Linked DNA regions of Arabidopsis thaliana. The protein of the gene in region 3 purifies or fractionates together with the protein of the main gene of each other region. This does not show direct contact. Each region holds a gene or a part of one and is shown on either strand. Other genes may lie near its edges.

Region 1 (4,572 bases), on a different chromosome or scaffold from region 3:
GTGTTCCTCCTGGTCTTTGTCGAAACAGAGAAGAAGCTTCCTTTGTAAAGAGAAGAGCTTCGCAATCTCGAAGATGATTTGTGATTGAGACGAGACAGAGACGCGAAGTTTGAAGAAGAAGAAGAGTAAGAGGAAACTTCGCTTACCGTTATCATCCTTATCCTTCTTCTCCTTCTCCACAACAACGACGATTTCTTCTTTTCCTTTTCACTTTTTTTTTTTTTCTTACGGAATCCAGCTAATGGGCCAGGCCTTTTAGGCCCAATACATCTTTTGCACATTATTAATCTTTGTTGTTTTGGGCGTTAGGAATGAGACCATGACTTCAAGTCTTTCTTTCTGTTTCTTCAAGACTTCAAGTTTCAAGTTTCAACAATCACAAATTATATCTTTCTCTCAAATGAACTATGTAGGATAATTAGTTAATTAAGCTGTAACATCCATAGACTATAAAACTTTTAATAACAAATCAAGATGATGCAATTGATCAAACTCTAGTTAGACTTCACACAAAAAGCATAAGCACATAGAAGTTTAGTTATCTCCTTTGGTGACAGATTAGGAATACTCTGAAGATATAATGAGACTACAAGTTTGGTATATGTGAATGCATCAAATATAATCATGCCAAAGAAGGAGGAGAAGGGATAAAAATGGTGGTTCCAGCCTCAATCTGACCGCGACCGATCAAACGCCAATGCCTATCCACACGGCGACTTATAGCCACTTTCTCTCCAATGCTGGTGCACACAGGGAGTGTCAGATTAACTTTCACCATATCTTTCTTTACTCCAATAACCATAGCTCCCGTAGACATCGATCCGATATTCAACATCAGTATCTCTCCCTTGACTAGCTTTGACACTCTCATTTGCCTCTCTGTTTCCTTTGTCTTCACTCCAATGAGACGTGTCAGAAGCTGGAAACTCACTTCAAGTTCAACATAGACATCAGGGAGAGTACCTATTTCACCAAGGACTTGACCAACTAACCTATCACCACGCGTAAGCGTAGGATCCATGCTTGTCCCAATTCCAATCAAACCTCCCGGGACAGCAAACTGAAGCTCGTTCTGTTCCGCGTACAATGAAGTTATACGCGTGTAAATGGGAGTGCATTTAGTGTCTCCATTCTCATCTTTTCTAGTGATTCCAGGTCTTATCTCTATTATATGCCCCACCTTCAAAACACCCTGCAAACAAAGCAAAGAGAGACATAAGTTACATTGATTCAACCGCGATTTATCCTAGTTTTTCGGGGTATTGAGTATGTTTTACCTGAAGGATACTCCCACCTGCAACTCCACCTTTCATACCATCATAATCAGAGCCAGGTTTATTGACATCAAAAGAACGAATCACAATCATTCTTGGAGGTGACACAAAATCCCTCACAGGGAGTGGAATCTTCTTGACAATGTACTCACACAAAACATCGATGTTGTATTTCAGTTGCGCTGAGACAGGAACTATAGGAGCACCTTCCGCATTCGTGTTCTGTAATAACAAGTTTAAAACTTAACCAACTAATCAAGAAGTGAAAAATGCAAAAAAAAAACAGAATGGGAAAATTGAATCAAACCGTTATAAATCTCTGGATGTCCTCGTGCTGTTTAATAGCCTCGTTTTCTTGGATGAGATCAATCTTGTTCTGAATGATTATGATATCTTTAAGATGCATCATATCAACAGAAGCAAGATGTTCAGCTGTTTGTGGTTGTGGACATGTCTCATTCGCAGCAATGATTAGTAAAGCACCATCCATAATCGCTGCTCCATTCAGCATTGTCGCCATTAGGATATCGTGTCCCTAATCAACACACAAAACACCTCATTAACATATAGAAAATGGTTACAAAAGATTTAGAAATAGTGTTAAAACTCATTTTATACCGGGCAATCAACAAATGAGACATGTCTTAGTAGTTTCATCTTGTACTTCTCATGTCCAGAGACATCACAACTTGGGTTGTCTTCTTTGCCACTCCCGAAAGACCTATAATTAACACATATCATAAGTTGCTACGTACACTACGTAACCTTATTGTAGCAAAAGAAGAGCAAGAATTCACTTGTAGGCTACTGGTCTAGGGCATTTTTCACATTTGTAAATCTTTGCGTTTGCGTAACCAAGTTTAATGGTAATGTTACGCTCCAATTCACTCTTGAATTTGACAGTGTGCACACCGGAAACGGCTTTCACGATTGTCGATTTCCCGTGAGCGACATGGCCAATGGTTCCTGAGATATAGAGAGCATAGTCATATCTTTAGCTTTCAATGCACGGCTGATCAGTTTCTTCAGCATCAAAACTCAATGAAACAAAAACTTGTGTATACCTATGTTAATGGTGGCTTGACGAGAGATGACCTCAGGAGAGAGAGGATGCAGCTGAGCTACATCAAGTTTACTTAGATCTTGTTCAGCTAAGCCCTTGTTCTTCGACATTACGACAGATTTCATCTTAAACACTCTGTTGCAATCAATCAAAGTTCACAACTTTAGAACAACGTTGATCAGAGCCAATACAATAACACTAGAAGTTTCGAAAGGCTGTTCAGAAACTAGGGTTTTTATGCAAGATGGATGGGTTCCGTTCACAATAGTTACGATTCGATTAAATTCAATTAGGGTTGCTAATCTATTTCACTGAAGTTCTTATAAAAATGATTTACACAAACCTGAAGTACGGTAAGAGGTAGATGAAGAAGTTTGCTCGCAGAGATTTCAGAGGAGAAAGCGTGCCGTTGAAGGTTTGTGTTTTTGGTTTTGATAAAGTCAGGTGGCGTGTAAGGTATATTTATAGGTAGGGTTTTATCTTAACGTTTACTGTTTGTCTTTTTCGCCAACTTCATTTTTCCATGTGTCAATAAAACATGTCTTACAATTTTTATTTTATAATTGTCGGTTTCTTACCCGAAATGTTTTTTTATAGGAAAATTTGTGTTAGGTAATTTTGCAATTTCATTTACAAAATATAGCACGCTCCTTTTGAGATGGGCTAAAATCGTTCCAAAGTTTGGGCTTACACGCCTAACCATTGGCCCACTCCAGTTTACTTCTATCTTTCACCAAACTAAGAAACATTGATCCTTGAACAAAAAGTAGTATATGTTTATATGATGACAAAAAAAAAAGAGTAGGAAATCTATGATTCTATAGGAGTGTAAATGAATAAGCTGTGATAAATTTAGGTTATTTTTCTTAACGATATATATTGTTAGATCAAATTTTATAGTTACATCATTTGGAGTATAATGTAAATATGTTCCGCTTTATAATAATGTAAATATGATTTGTAATACTAATGAGAACACACGCTCATTGTCTTCCAGTTCAAGAAATATCTTAAACCCCACTTTTTATCAGCCACCTGAATTTGAGTCTTCCTCTGCCACATAATAAATTGTTTACATGGACCAATTCTTGGTTACAAAACATCTGATATCATATCGTGCAATTAAGAAGGTATTAAATGATGTTTTTTTCTGTGGCATTTGTATATACTTTCAAGTTTCGACCAATTCTATAAGTTAAGAAAAAGGCATTGAGGGAAATTTAGGTTAGAAAAAGTACACAACGATCCCAGCAATGGGAAGTAGCTATCACTTTCAGTGACCCTATTTCTCTGAGTGGGCAATAACATTGTAGGCCCCATTCTGTGGAAAATCCACTAACTTCAATGTCTGCTCTCATTTTCTATTGTCTCCTTCGCTGTTTTTTTACAATTTACGTTACCACCAAAACTATTCCTTTGTTTAATGACGAAAACGCCACTCTTTCTAAGCAAAATGTCAGAGAATTTTGTTTCTTTGTTGGAGAGTTGAAAATATTTTTTACATAGAAAAAGAAACCAATAATGCAGTCAAATAATAATAGGAAGCAAATAATAATGCAAGTATCTCTAATTCTCTATATCAAATTGTATTCAATCATATTCACCAGATGTAACCTCTATAATGGAACCTTTTTGAATATTAAAATATCATTAGATCCTATTCTTACAATGTATCAATCAATTACTAATTAATTTTCTCTGGTTTTCTTGATATAACAATAACGTTAAAAAATCTCATTGTTAATCTCTTTATGCCATCATTAGTATTGTAAGATTTTGTACACTTTAAATTGTAAATTTGATCTTACAGAAACAAAAGATCTACAAATCTTAGTTACAGAAGATAATGGTATTAAACTATACAAATCTTAGTAGTTTAATATTATTAATAATCAAAATTATTCTAAATTAGAACTTTTACAAAATAAACATTTATCAGTCGCTTTCATAAATGTCAAACAATAAAAAAAGAAAAAGAATCAAAGATCTAAAGAGTGGCATTTTTATGACGTCACATTGAAATCCAACCGTGTAAATTCTTTTTTTTTCAATATAAGCAAATTAATTCACACGTTTTGTGCGCTGTCTTCGAAACTAAATCATTTATAAAAAAGACAAAACAGACAAGAAAATACAAACTGTCAAAAGAAGATTTTATATTGGTTGATTTGAAATCTCTCAGCAAAGAAGAAGAAGAAAGATTAAAAAAAAACAATCCTTTATTATTTTTCATTT
Region 2 (4,392 bases), on a different chromosome or scaffold from region 3:
ACCGGAAGGAGGTACGAATCCTTTGGGAAGCATAACCGAGAAAGTATCCTGTCGAACCGGACGGTTTAAACCGTTATTCTTCTTGGCCATCATCTTGAAGTAGCCAGCACGATGATGAAGACCACGGCGATGACGAAGAGTATGTCGATAGTAGTAGTAGTATTGGTGATTGTAACGACGACGACGGTGGTTGTCTCGTTGCAACCGCTGGTTCAAGATAAACGGTGTCGTTTTCTTGATGTAGACGAGTTGGTGCGGTGATTCGTAACCGTTGAGATAAGCTTCCGTTTTTTGTGTTGATGATACTCTTGTTTCTTGATTCGAAGATGATGATGATGGTGAGATGAGGAAGACGAGAGTGAGAATAAGAGAGACGATGAAGCTTTTTAGAAGACTCTGTTTCATCAAAACCAAATCTTCCATTGGGATTGAAAGAGAGTATAGGGTTTTGGCTGAGAGTAAGAGAGAGCGTAAAGATGAAACAAAAGCTCAGAACGAGGAGGGAATTAGAATTATATAATTCCTAATTAGTGATAAGTAATATCATTAATGAAATTATGAATTTGTTTTTTAAATTTTCGTCAATGTTGTGTTAAATATGAATATAGTTTTATATTGTAGTCGAAAGAAAGTGATTAAACATACAAAGGCACATGTTAATTATTTTTGAATGCAAACAATATAAAAAACTCATCACTACTTCATTAGAAAGGAGGAGGAGGAACATCGATGGTGGTTCCAGCCATAATCTGACCCTTACCAATTAGACGCCAATGCCTATCGACACGTCGGCTTAAAGCAACCTTCTCTCCTATGGTGGTACACACCGGAGACGTCAGTTGGAGTTTCACCATATCTTTCTTGACTCCAATAACCTTAGCTCCCGTAGACATAGACCCGATGTTCACCATCAATATCTCTTCTTTGGTTAGCTTTGACACTTTCATTTGCTTCTCTTTTTCCTTTGTCCTCACTCCAATGAGACGAGTCAGAAGCTGGTAACTTACTTCAAGCTCAACAAAGACGTCAGGGAGAGTACCCATTTCACCAAGGACTTGACCAACCAACCTATCAGCACGCGTAAGCGTAGGGTCCATGGTTGTTCCAACTCCGATTAGACCTCCCGGTACAGCAAACTGAAGCTCGTTCTGTTCCGCGTATAGTGAAGTTATACGCGAGTAAATTGGAGTGCATTTTGAGTTTCCATGCTCATCTTTGCCAGTGATACCAGGTCTAATTTCAATCAGTTGGTTCACTTTCAAAACACCCAAACAAAGAGAGACACATATTAATACTAAATTGTTTCACAGTCAGGTAAGAACAGAGGAGAAACAGAGAGATAAAAACATACCTGGAGGATACTTCCACCAGCAACACCACCTTTCATTTCATGACCCGCCGAGCCAGGTTTATTGACATCGAAAGAACGAATCACAATCATCTTTGGTGGTGACACAAAGTCTCTCACAGGGATTGGAATCTTCTTGACAATGTATTCACTCACAACATCAATGTTGTATTTCAGTTGTGCTGAGACAGGAACTATAGGTGCATCCTCAGCATTCGTGTTCTGCAACATTATATATGTGACAGAAAATATGAGAACCAAACTGATGAAGTCATGAAAGATTTAACAACAGAGAGATAAGAAAATTGATCAAACCGTTATAAATTTCTGAATAGCCTCGTGCTGTTCAGTGGCGGCTTTCTCATTAATGAGATCAATCTTGTTCTGAAGGATTATGATATGCTTAAGGCGCATCATATCAACAGAAGCAAGATGTTCAGCGGTTTGTGGTTGTGGACAACTCTCGTTAGCAGCAATTAGAAGTAAAGCACCATCCACGATTGCTGCTCCATTGAGCATTGTCGCCATAAGAATATCATGTCCCTGATGAATAAAAAACAACTCAGTTACATATAGCCAATGGTTCTAGTTTTGAGAGACAAAGTGTAAATTAAACTCATTAATACCGGACAATCGACACATGAGACATGTCTCCGTAGTGTCATCTTGCAATTCTCAAATCCGGGGACATCACAAGTTGGGTTGTCTTCTTTTCCACTCCCATATGACCTAAAATTAACAGATTAGCTGCTGCTACACATAATAACACTTAGCCTTATTATATCAAAAAGAAGATTATGACTCACTTGTAGCACATTGGTCTAGGGCACTTGTCATCCTCACACTTGTAAATCTTTGCATTTGCATAACCAAGCTTAATGGTAATGTTACGCTCTAATTCATTCTTAAAACGCACAGTCTGAACACCAGAGATAGCTTTCACTATAGTCGATTTACCGTGAGCGACATGACCAATGGTTCCTGAGATATATTTAGCACAGTATTGGTTTCTTTGACATCAAGTTATACTATAGACCTAGAGGAGCTGGCAAAAGCAGAGTGTAATTTACCGATATTTATGGTTGCTTGGCGAGAAATGACTTCAGGAAACAGAGGATGTAACTTTGTTACATCAAGCTTAGTTAGATCTTGCTCCGCCAAACCCTTGTTACGCGAAATTAACACAGATTGAACCATCTTTAATCCTGCTAAAACAACGAGATCAATGAAAATTCTGAAATCGATATTAGGGTTTATATACAAAACGATTTCATGCATACCTTGGTTTCTGTTCACAAAACACCACAATAATTTCGATACTCAGTCGATTCCGACAAACCTGAGTACTATAAAGTCTCGATTTTGTTTAATCAGTCTCTTACACTTTGTTGTCCGAAAAATGTTGAGCTCGCTCGATGACAGTTAAAGATTTGTAAGATTGGGGAAGAAGTTTACACGTGGAAGGTAAAAAATGTAGGGTTTTGTAAACCTTTTTTTCATTGCCTTATGATTAACTAGGCCCATTCTTATTATTAGTAAAACCATTAGCACCCAATACGGCCCAATATTGAAAACCTGTAAATTTAAACTCGAATTTGTAATCGGAGTTGAGTTTTTTTTGTAGAGGAGCCAAATAAGAGAACATCTTTTGTAGAATTTTTCATTTTACTCTTTGCTAAACAATTTTTTTAAAAAAAATATGTTTTACATATATTAACGAAGAGATGTACACCGAATTAAGAGTTCTTTGTTTGTCTATTAAGTTTAACGTAAAAATAAACAATAAAAGATCAGCATTTTTATAAACAAACCAAAGTAGAGTTTCTAACGAAACCACAATGAGTAGAGTTTGCAACACAATAAATAGAAATTAATACTAAAAATCTTAAACCACACAAATAAAAGATAGATAACGAAAACAATCACAGAGAAATAACTTAAAGAGTCAAGTGGTAGAACATTAGGCTAAGCGCGAACCTCAACCCAAACTCCGTCAGTGTAAGAAACGATTTGGTTGTTAGCACCCCAAGTGCGGTTTTTCACTCTCTCGCGATCAGTTTTAGTGCCGATAATGTCTAGAGTTTGTGGAAATATCTGAAGTCGATGTTTGATCTGATCAAAAGATTGGCCGTGGAAAGGATTCCATTCGATGGTATCATTCTCTTGAGTATTTGAGACATTCCAATTTTGGGTTCGGAAGGTGAAGTCAAGAGTATGGCCCCATAAAATAATTGATATTTTGTCCACAGATGGGGAGAGGGAATCTATAGTCGAACCACAAATTGGATGGTTGAAGGTAGGGATACGAGTCACTGACCAGTTCTGATCCCAGTCTCCGTTACTCTTGGCTACATAATATATTTGTCGACTAGGAGCATGCATATGCGCTATCACCATATGATTATTTTCGTGAAAGCTATCGGCTAGGAGACAAGCATAAGTGTTGTCTTGACGGGGATCTCCGGTGAGCACACCGTAACGGATCACACATGGGTTATCAGTGGTGAGAAGGGGTAGTTGGTACCGTTGTGAAGTGAACGGGTTGTATAAGAAAGCTTGGTGGTCTTGACGTCGGTGTATGGCACTGGAGTTGGACATAACAACCCAACCCAATGTTGATCCTAAGAATTTGGCCCCTTCAAGATATGGGTCTTTCCCATGATGTAGCTCCTCTCTCACAGGGTCATAGAAATGGGCAACTCGGGATCCCCTTTCACGGTACAACAACCACGGCCTTTCCTCTACGAAACCTCCTTCACGGAAAGAAAGAAATGTGTTCCTCCAATGAGTGTTGACACCTCTTAGTGCCCCACCTTCGGTAAAGTTAGGGTTAAGCAAATTTGTAGAACTTCTGAGGAGATCTTGAGGCAAACTTCCCCATGAATCCCTGCGAGAGAAACAAATTTGAGAGAAGTGAGATGAGAGCATAAACTATAAGAATTAACAAATAAGAACTGGAAGATTATTTTTTTTTTAAAGATGTTCTCAAAAATCCCTCCAAAAAATGAGATGAAACCAAGAAAAATAATTTTGAGAGAAATGAA
Region 3 (4,817 bases):
ACCAACCTGTTTGCGGAGAGAAGGAGAGGAAGAAGAGTAGTGATCACGGAGAAGATTATGAATAGAACAAACGGATGCTTCGAATCTCAGCTTTTTGTTCAGCTGTTTCTGAAGATCATCAAGCTCAAGCTTCAAGCTTTCCTCGGAAGGAGACGGTGAAGACGATGCATCCATTCAGAAATTTATTTCTTAGAGTTAAGGAGAATACTCAGGGGTTTCGAATGATTTTGGGGATTTTGTAAGAATGATGCAAAAGAAGAACCAATCTCTTGTCTTCTGGGATTTTTGTAGGAGACGAGTTTTCTTGATCAGGAGGAAAGGACGAAGTCGGTCGGTTAATATAGTTCAGTTCGGTTTGGTTCGGTTCAAGACCAAAAGAACAATTGTTAATTACCAATTGTTCGGTTTGGTTTGAGACCAATTTTTTGTTGGTAAATACTAAATCGTATGCGGCTATATTAGACCAAACCGTATACATTATTTGTTTTTTGTAGTATGATTGTAACTGTAGATAAACATAGTGTATATTGGACTTTCTGAGCCTTCCACGCTTTAATTTGAGATGTTGAACGCAATGCCTGTGGACGTTAATATCATTAGTCTATTAATTTTGAACTAAGAATAATCTTAACACAAAAAAGAAGTCCATGGATTTACTAAATCAACCTTCAAGGTGACCACATGAACCTGACAGAGTAAAAGGTTTTGATCCTATCCCATTTTAAAAGTCAAGTCATAATCATATTCCAAAACAAAATAAAAAAAACAAGACAAGTATTTCTTCAACTCATAAACTCATACAGAAGCAGTAGAATAGCTCCAAACTCCATACCAAGGTCACTTCACCTTCTAATTTCTCAAGTCTTCCTGCGACTAACACGAGCAACAAACCCTGTTTTGATCGGAGCCACAGATCGTTGAGATCCACACTGCAAAAACCATGTAGCCCACTCGTTAATCACATTAGCAAATTCAAACACACAAAATACTTTATTACTTTGTTGCGCAGAAAGTAAAACTGTAAAACAGAAACAAAGGAATGCATATCAAGATCAGGACTAATTAGATTAACTTATACCTTTTCACATCTCAGAAAGAAGAGACGGTTCTCCTTGGAGAGAATGGTGTCTGGGCTCTTGCAACCAAGGCAAATGACGTAGTCAGCTGAGAAATAATAAAACAAGAGGTTAACAACTCCAAACTGATATACTTTTATGGCAACTTAAATTTTGAGACTAAGAAGAAAGTTACTTACTGATATATCGCCGCAAAATTCCTTCAAAATTCTTAGGTGCAAACCTTCCCTTAACAACCAACCTTTGCTGCCCATCAAGCGAACCACTAGTACCCAACTCAGCAAGCAAGTATTGCATAACATGATCTGGTTGACGATGCATCCTGATTTTTTATATGCAGATAAGACATGTCATCGAAAAGTCATCAAAATTAAATGGTAATATTACTTATGGTTACACAGAAAAAGTTTGAAGAGGAAGATAAAGAGTTAGCTCATACGTCTTGCAAAGGTCCATGAAGTTGACAAAGACAGTCTTCTTTGTCCCCTCACGAAGAACTTGAGGAGGCCTCATAACTGTACGACGCCTATCTCCAGCAAGCTCCGGATTATTTTCACGGAGAATGTTAAAGACTCTACCAAGAAGCTGCATATATAACTCCCGTCAGCAAAAAAACAAGGGAGCAAGATATTTATGAAGGATTAAAACAAAAGAAATCATCGAAAATATAGTCACCTCGTCATATATGTAATCCCTCTCACTTCCCTCCCAGGGGTAACGTTGCTGTAGAACTATTCCTTCTTCCCCCTCTTGCTCGTCATTAGCAATCTCTGCAATATATTCTCAGTAAGATTCAAACAGGATAAAAACCCCGCCAAGAGAAAAGGTATATTAGCAAACAAAAAAAAAGGATATTAAAAGTACCATCCAAATCTTCCCCAGCATCAACACTTTCGTTGTTCAATAAGCTTGATTCAGTCTAAATATCAAACAAGAACAAATGTGAGTCACAGAATCATCAAACACACAAGTTTAATGACATAAAAAAAATACTAGGCACAAAACGTAAAACAATACTCACTGGCTTCTTCTTCTTTTTCTTCATTCCAGTAAATGAACTCTCAAGACCATCATTAACTGCAAAAACAAGGAATTAGACAAAGTAACACAAAAGACCATTGAAACAAAAAAAATGTTTCACATCACATTGACTCTTCATCATACATACCAGGCAATGAATCAGATTTCTCAGTCTGTGAAGACTCTGCTAAGTCCTCGACAGGTTCCTGAATCACAACCTTCTTCTTCTTTTTCTTCTTGGAAGGATCAAAGGGTGCGAGCTGCTGTAAAAGGATGAACCAAAACATAAAAACCATTCAATCATGAGTTCATCAAACAAAACAAAAAAAAAAATCTATATGGCTAACTTGAGCCCTATCATTAAGAAACAGAGAAAAAAAACAAACTTACTTCTTGCTCTTCCCTTATCTCATTGATTTCATCAGCCATGATTGCAACTGAGATACAAAACGAAAACACACAATGATAATAAGACCTCAGAAACCAAACATATACATATTAGAATCAACATAATCTGTAACAACGATGAGCATAGGCAAGTCCGAAATTAGGGTTTCTAAATCAGAGAGGTAATTCGGAACGCAACAAAACCATAACGAGATTCAGAACAACTTTTCGATTCCCAATAAAAAAAATACCCAAATAAAATGTACGACAAGGCTTCAAATCAGAAACGGAACAGCTAGGTTTACCAATCTGTTTATACTCAATTCTTCCAAAAACACGATTTACTCTGAGATCGACCAGAAGAATTCGAAAAGGAATCGAAGAAAACTCACAAAGGGATGTCTAAGCGCTGAAATTGGCGTAGAGAGTAAACGAGGTTGCTTCGGGAGGAATCTGAGAGAGAGTAAGCGGCGCAGGGGTTGTTTTAATCTGAGATAAGAGTTAACCCTTGCTCCTCCAAAAAAATAGTCCATCTCGAATTGTAACTTTTTTTTTTAATTCAATAGTAAAAGGTCTCTGTAAATATTTCATTTTGCCTAAACCTTAATATTACATTTTTACTTTTTTCTTTTTCTTAACGCATGTTACATTTTAATTTTATCTATTAATTGACACTGAGATTCTCATTTATTATTTTATTTGTCTTAATTAATTAATCAATTGAAATTTTATCAAATCAATTTTTTTTTTTTCAAATTAAGATTTATTTCTTATTAAATTCTGTGAATAGTAAATTATATAAAAATGTTATTAAATATAAATGAAACTAGTAAAGAAAGAAATCAGAATATATTTAGTGTCAAAATTAATAGTCTAGCATATCTTATTTTACTATAAATTACTAAATTATATTATTTTATTATTTAATATATTAAGTATTTTAGTTTGTTAGATATTCAGTAACAAAATTTCCGCAAATGCATTAATTTTCAACCGCTAAATTAATCGTTCAAATTGTTTAATAACGCTTGAGACGGCAACCGCCTACTTCCGCAAATTCATATAGTCATAATCGGATTTTAGCGTTTAAACCACGAGTCTGGCCTTAGATCAAAGAAAACCCTACTTATAGTCAACCCTAATCCATGATACCAAATGGAGAAAAAAAAAGAAAGAAAAAATGGAAATTTCCCAAATTAACACACCCATAACTCAAACTTGTCTCAAACCTCAGATTATATAATTAGGCTAAAATCTGATAAACCAAAAAATGTATCAGAGTGAGTGCTAAAGAGAACTTTGTGTTGACCTCTCTTTCCCTCCTAATTCCTTAGGGTTCCTCGATTTTTCTTTTTCACCGAAACAAAAACCTTATTCCTCCTTCTCTTTCTCTGTCTATCTTTCTCTGTACGTTTTATTCACTTTCCTCCACGTGGATTTGCATAAAAGCATGAAAATTTGTTGATGGGTTTCTCTTCGACATCCAGATTCTAGCTTCCAATTCCGTAATTCTCCGTTAAAAAACCCTAATTTCTCGAATTTACTCTGATCTGTGTAGAAATTAGGGAGTGAAGTGTCCGCAAGTGTTTGGCAATGTCGGATGACATGGTTTTGCATTTCTCCTCGAATTCTTCTAATCAGTCGGATCACTCTTTACCCGACAAAATCGCCAAGCTTGAGGCCCGCTTGACTGGTAAGACCCCTTCCTCGGCCAAGCCACCACAACAACAACAACAGCAGCAGCAGCAGGTCTCTCTCTGGTCATCTGCTTCTGCCGCTGTCAAAGTCGTCACTTCCACACCGCCGGGATTGTCCGAAACCTCTATCAGTGATTCAGACGACGAGGTAGCTTCCGATGTTTGTTTCAAATTCTTTTGTTTATGTCTATGCTATGATTCTTGTGAGTCTAAGGGTCGTTGCTAATTGAATTGTTGATGTCCCTATCCTCCTTGTATTGATCAGTTTGTGCCTAAAGATTGATCAAAGTTGTATGCAATGCTGGCTACATATCCTGGCATTGCAGATGCATCTATATTTCTTTCTTGAACAAGAAATACAGTCTCTTTTTTAGCTAGATCTCATTCTCCTTGTTACTGTCTCAGAATACTGGAGATTTCCTAATCCGAGCAAATACAAAAAAGCGCCAGAAAGTTCAAGAATCTAACAACTTCAGTGTTGTTGATCATGTTGAGGTATTGATTTTTCATAAAGAGTTTTCTTTTAGTCTCTTATCGGGTTGATGTTTTTTATATCAAATATTGGTGTATGATGTAAGTTTTGTCTCCTAGTATTTCTCATCAACTTATAATGAAGAATATTGTTGAATTGAAGCCA

What was found. Proteins that work in one complex are often made in the same cells at the same time.
Region 1: the proteins of EIF2 BETA (region 3) and AT2G18720 fractionate together in Arabidopsis thaliana (co-fractionation; one large-scale study listed by BioGRID). This does not show direct contact.
Region 2: the proteins of EIF2 BETA (region 3) and AT4G18330 fractionate together in Arabidopsis thaliana (co-fractionation; one large-scale study listed by BioGRID). This does not show direct contact.

Annotation. Positions count from the first base shown.
Region 1 is NC_003071.7:8,114,298-8,118,869, forward strand, and holds AT2G18720 (Translation elongation factor EF1A/initiation factor IF2gamma family protein), read right to left. Parts: upstream 2,702-4,572; 5' UTR 2,681-2,701; intron 2,515-2,680; exon of another isoform or gene 2,473-2,514; 5' UTR 2,463-2,472; coding exon 2,339-2,462; intron 2,241-2,338; coding exon 2,072-2,240; intron 2,042-2,071; exon of another isoform or gene 2,016-2,041; coding exon of another isoform or gene 1,996-2,015; coding exon 1,893-1,995; intron 1,810-1,892; coding exon 1,582-1,809; intron 1,497-1,581; coding exon 1,278-1,496; intron 1,193-1,277; coding exon 623-1,192; 3' UTR 558-622; downstream 1-557. Other genes in the region: SCY1 (SECY homolog 1), read right to left, coding at 1-155; AT2G18721 (uncharacterized protein), read left to right, coding at 2,702-2,809.
Region 2 is NC_003075.7:10,124,900-10,129,291, reverse strand, and holds AT4G18330 (Translation elongation factor EF1A/initiation factor IF2gamma family protein), read right to left. Parts: upstream 2,714-4,392; 5' UTR 2,629-2,713; intron 2,557-2,628; 5' UTR 2,546-2,556; coding exon 2,419-2,545; intron 2,330-2,418; coding exon 2,155-2,329; intron 2,078-2,154; coding exon 1,975-2,077; intron 1,892-1,974; coding exon 1,664-1,891; intron 1,571-1,663; coding exon 1,352-1,570; intron 1,269-1,351; coding exon 705-1,268; 3' UTR 558-704; downstream 1-557. Other genes in the region: AT4G18335 (uncharacterized protein), read right to left, coding at 1-423; AT4G18320 (uncharacterized protein), read right to left, coding at 3,314-4,276.
Region 3 is NC_003076.8:7,094,137-7,098,953, forward strand, and holds EIF2 BETA (eukaryotic translation initiation factor 2 beta subunit), read right to left. Parts: upstream 3,010-4,817; 5' UTR 2,876-3,009; exon of another isoform or gene 2,735-2,875; intron 2,534-2,734; 5' UTR 2,526-2,533; coding exon 2,487-2,525; intron 2,360-2,486; coding exon 2,245-2,359; intron 2,154-2,244; coding exon 2,098-2,153; intron 1,996-2,097; coding exon 1,941-1,995; intron 1,847-1,940; coding exon 1,752-1,846; intron 1,662-1,751; coding exon 1,516-1,661; intron 1,399-1,515; coding exon 1,256-1,398; intron 1,165-1,255; coding exon 1,079-1,164; intron 930-1,078; coding exon 858-929; 3' UTR 513-857; downstream 1-512. Other genes in the region: AIP2 (RING/U-box superfamily protein), read right to left, coding at 7-174; TSL (Protein kinase superfamily protein), read left to right, coding at 4,077-4,328, 4,586-4,675, 4,815-4,817. UniProt on the Arabidopsis thaliana protein: Component of the eIF2 complex that functions in the early steps of protein synthesis by forming a ternary complex with GTP and initiator tRNA.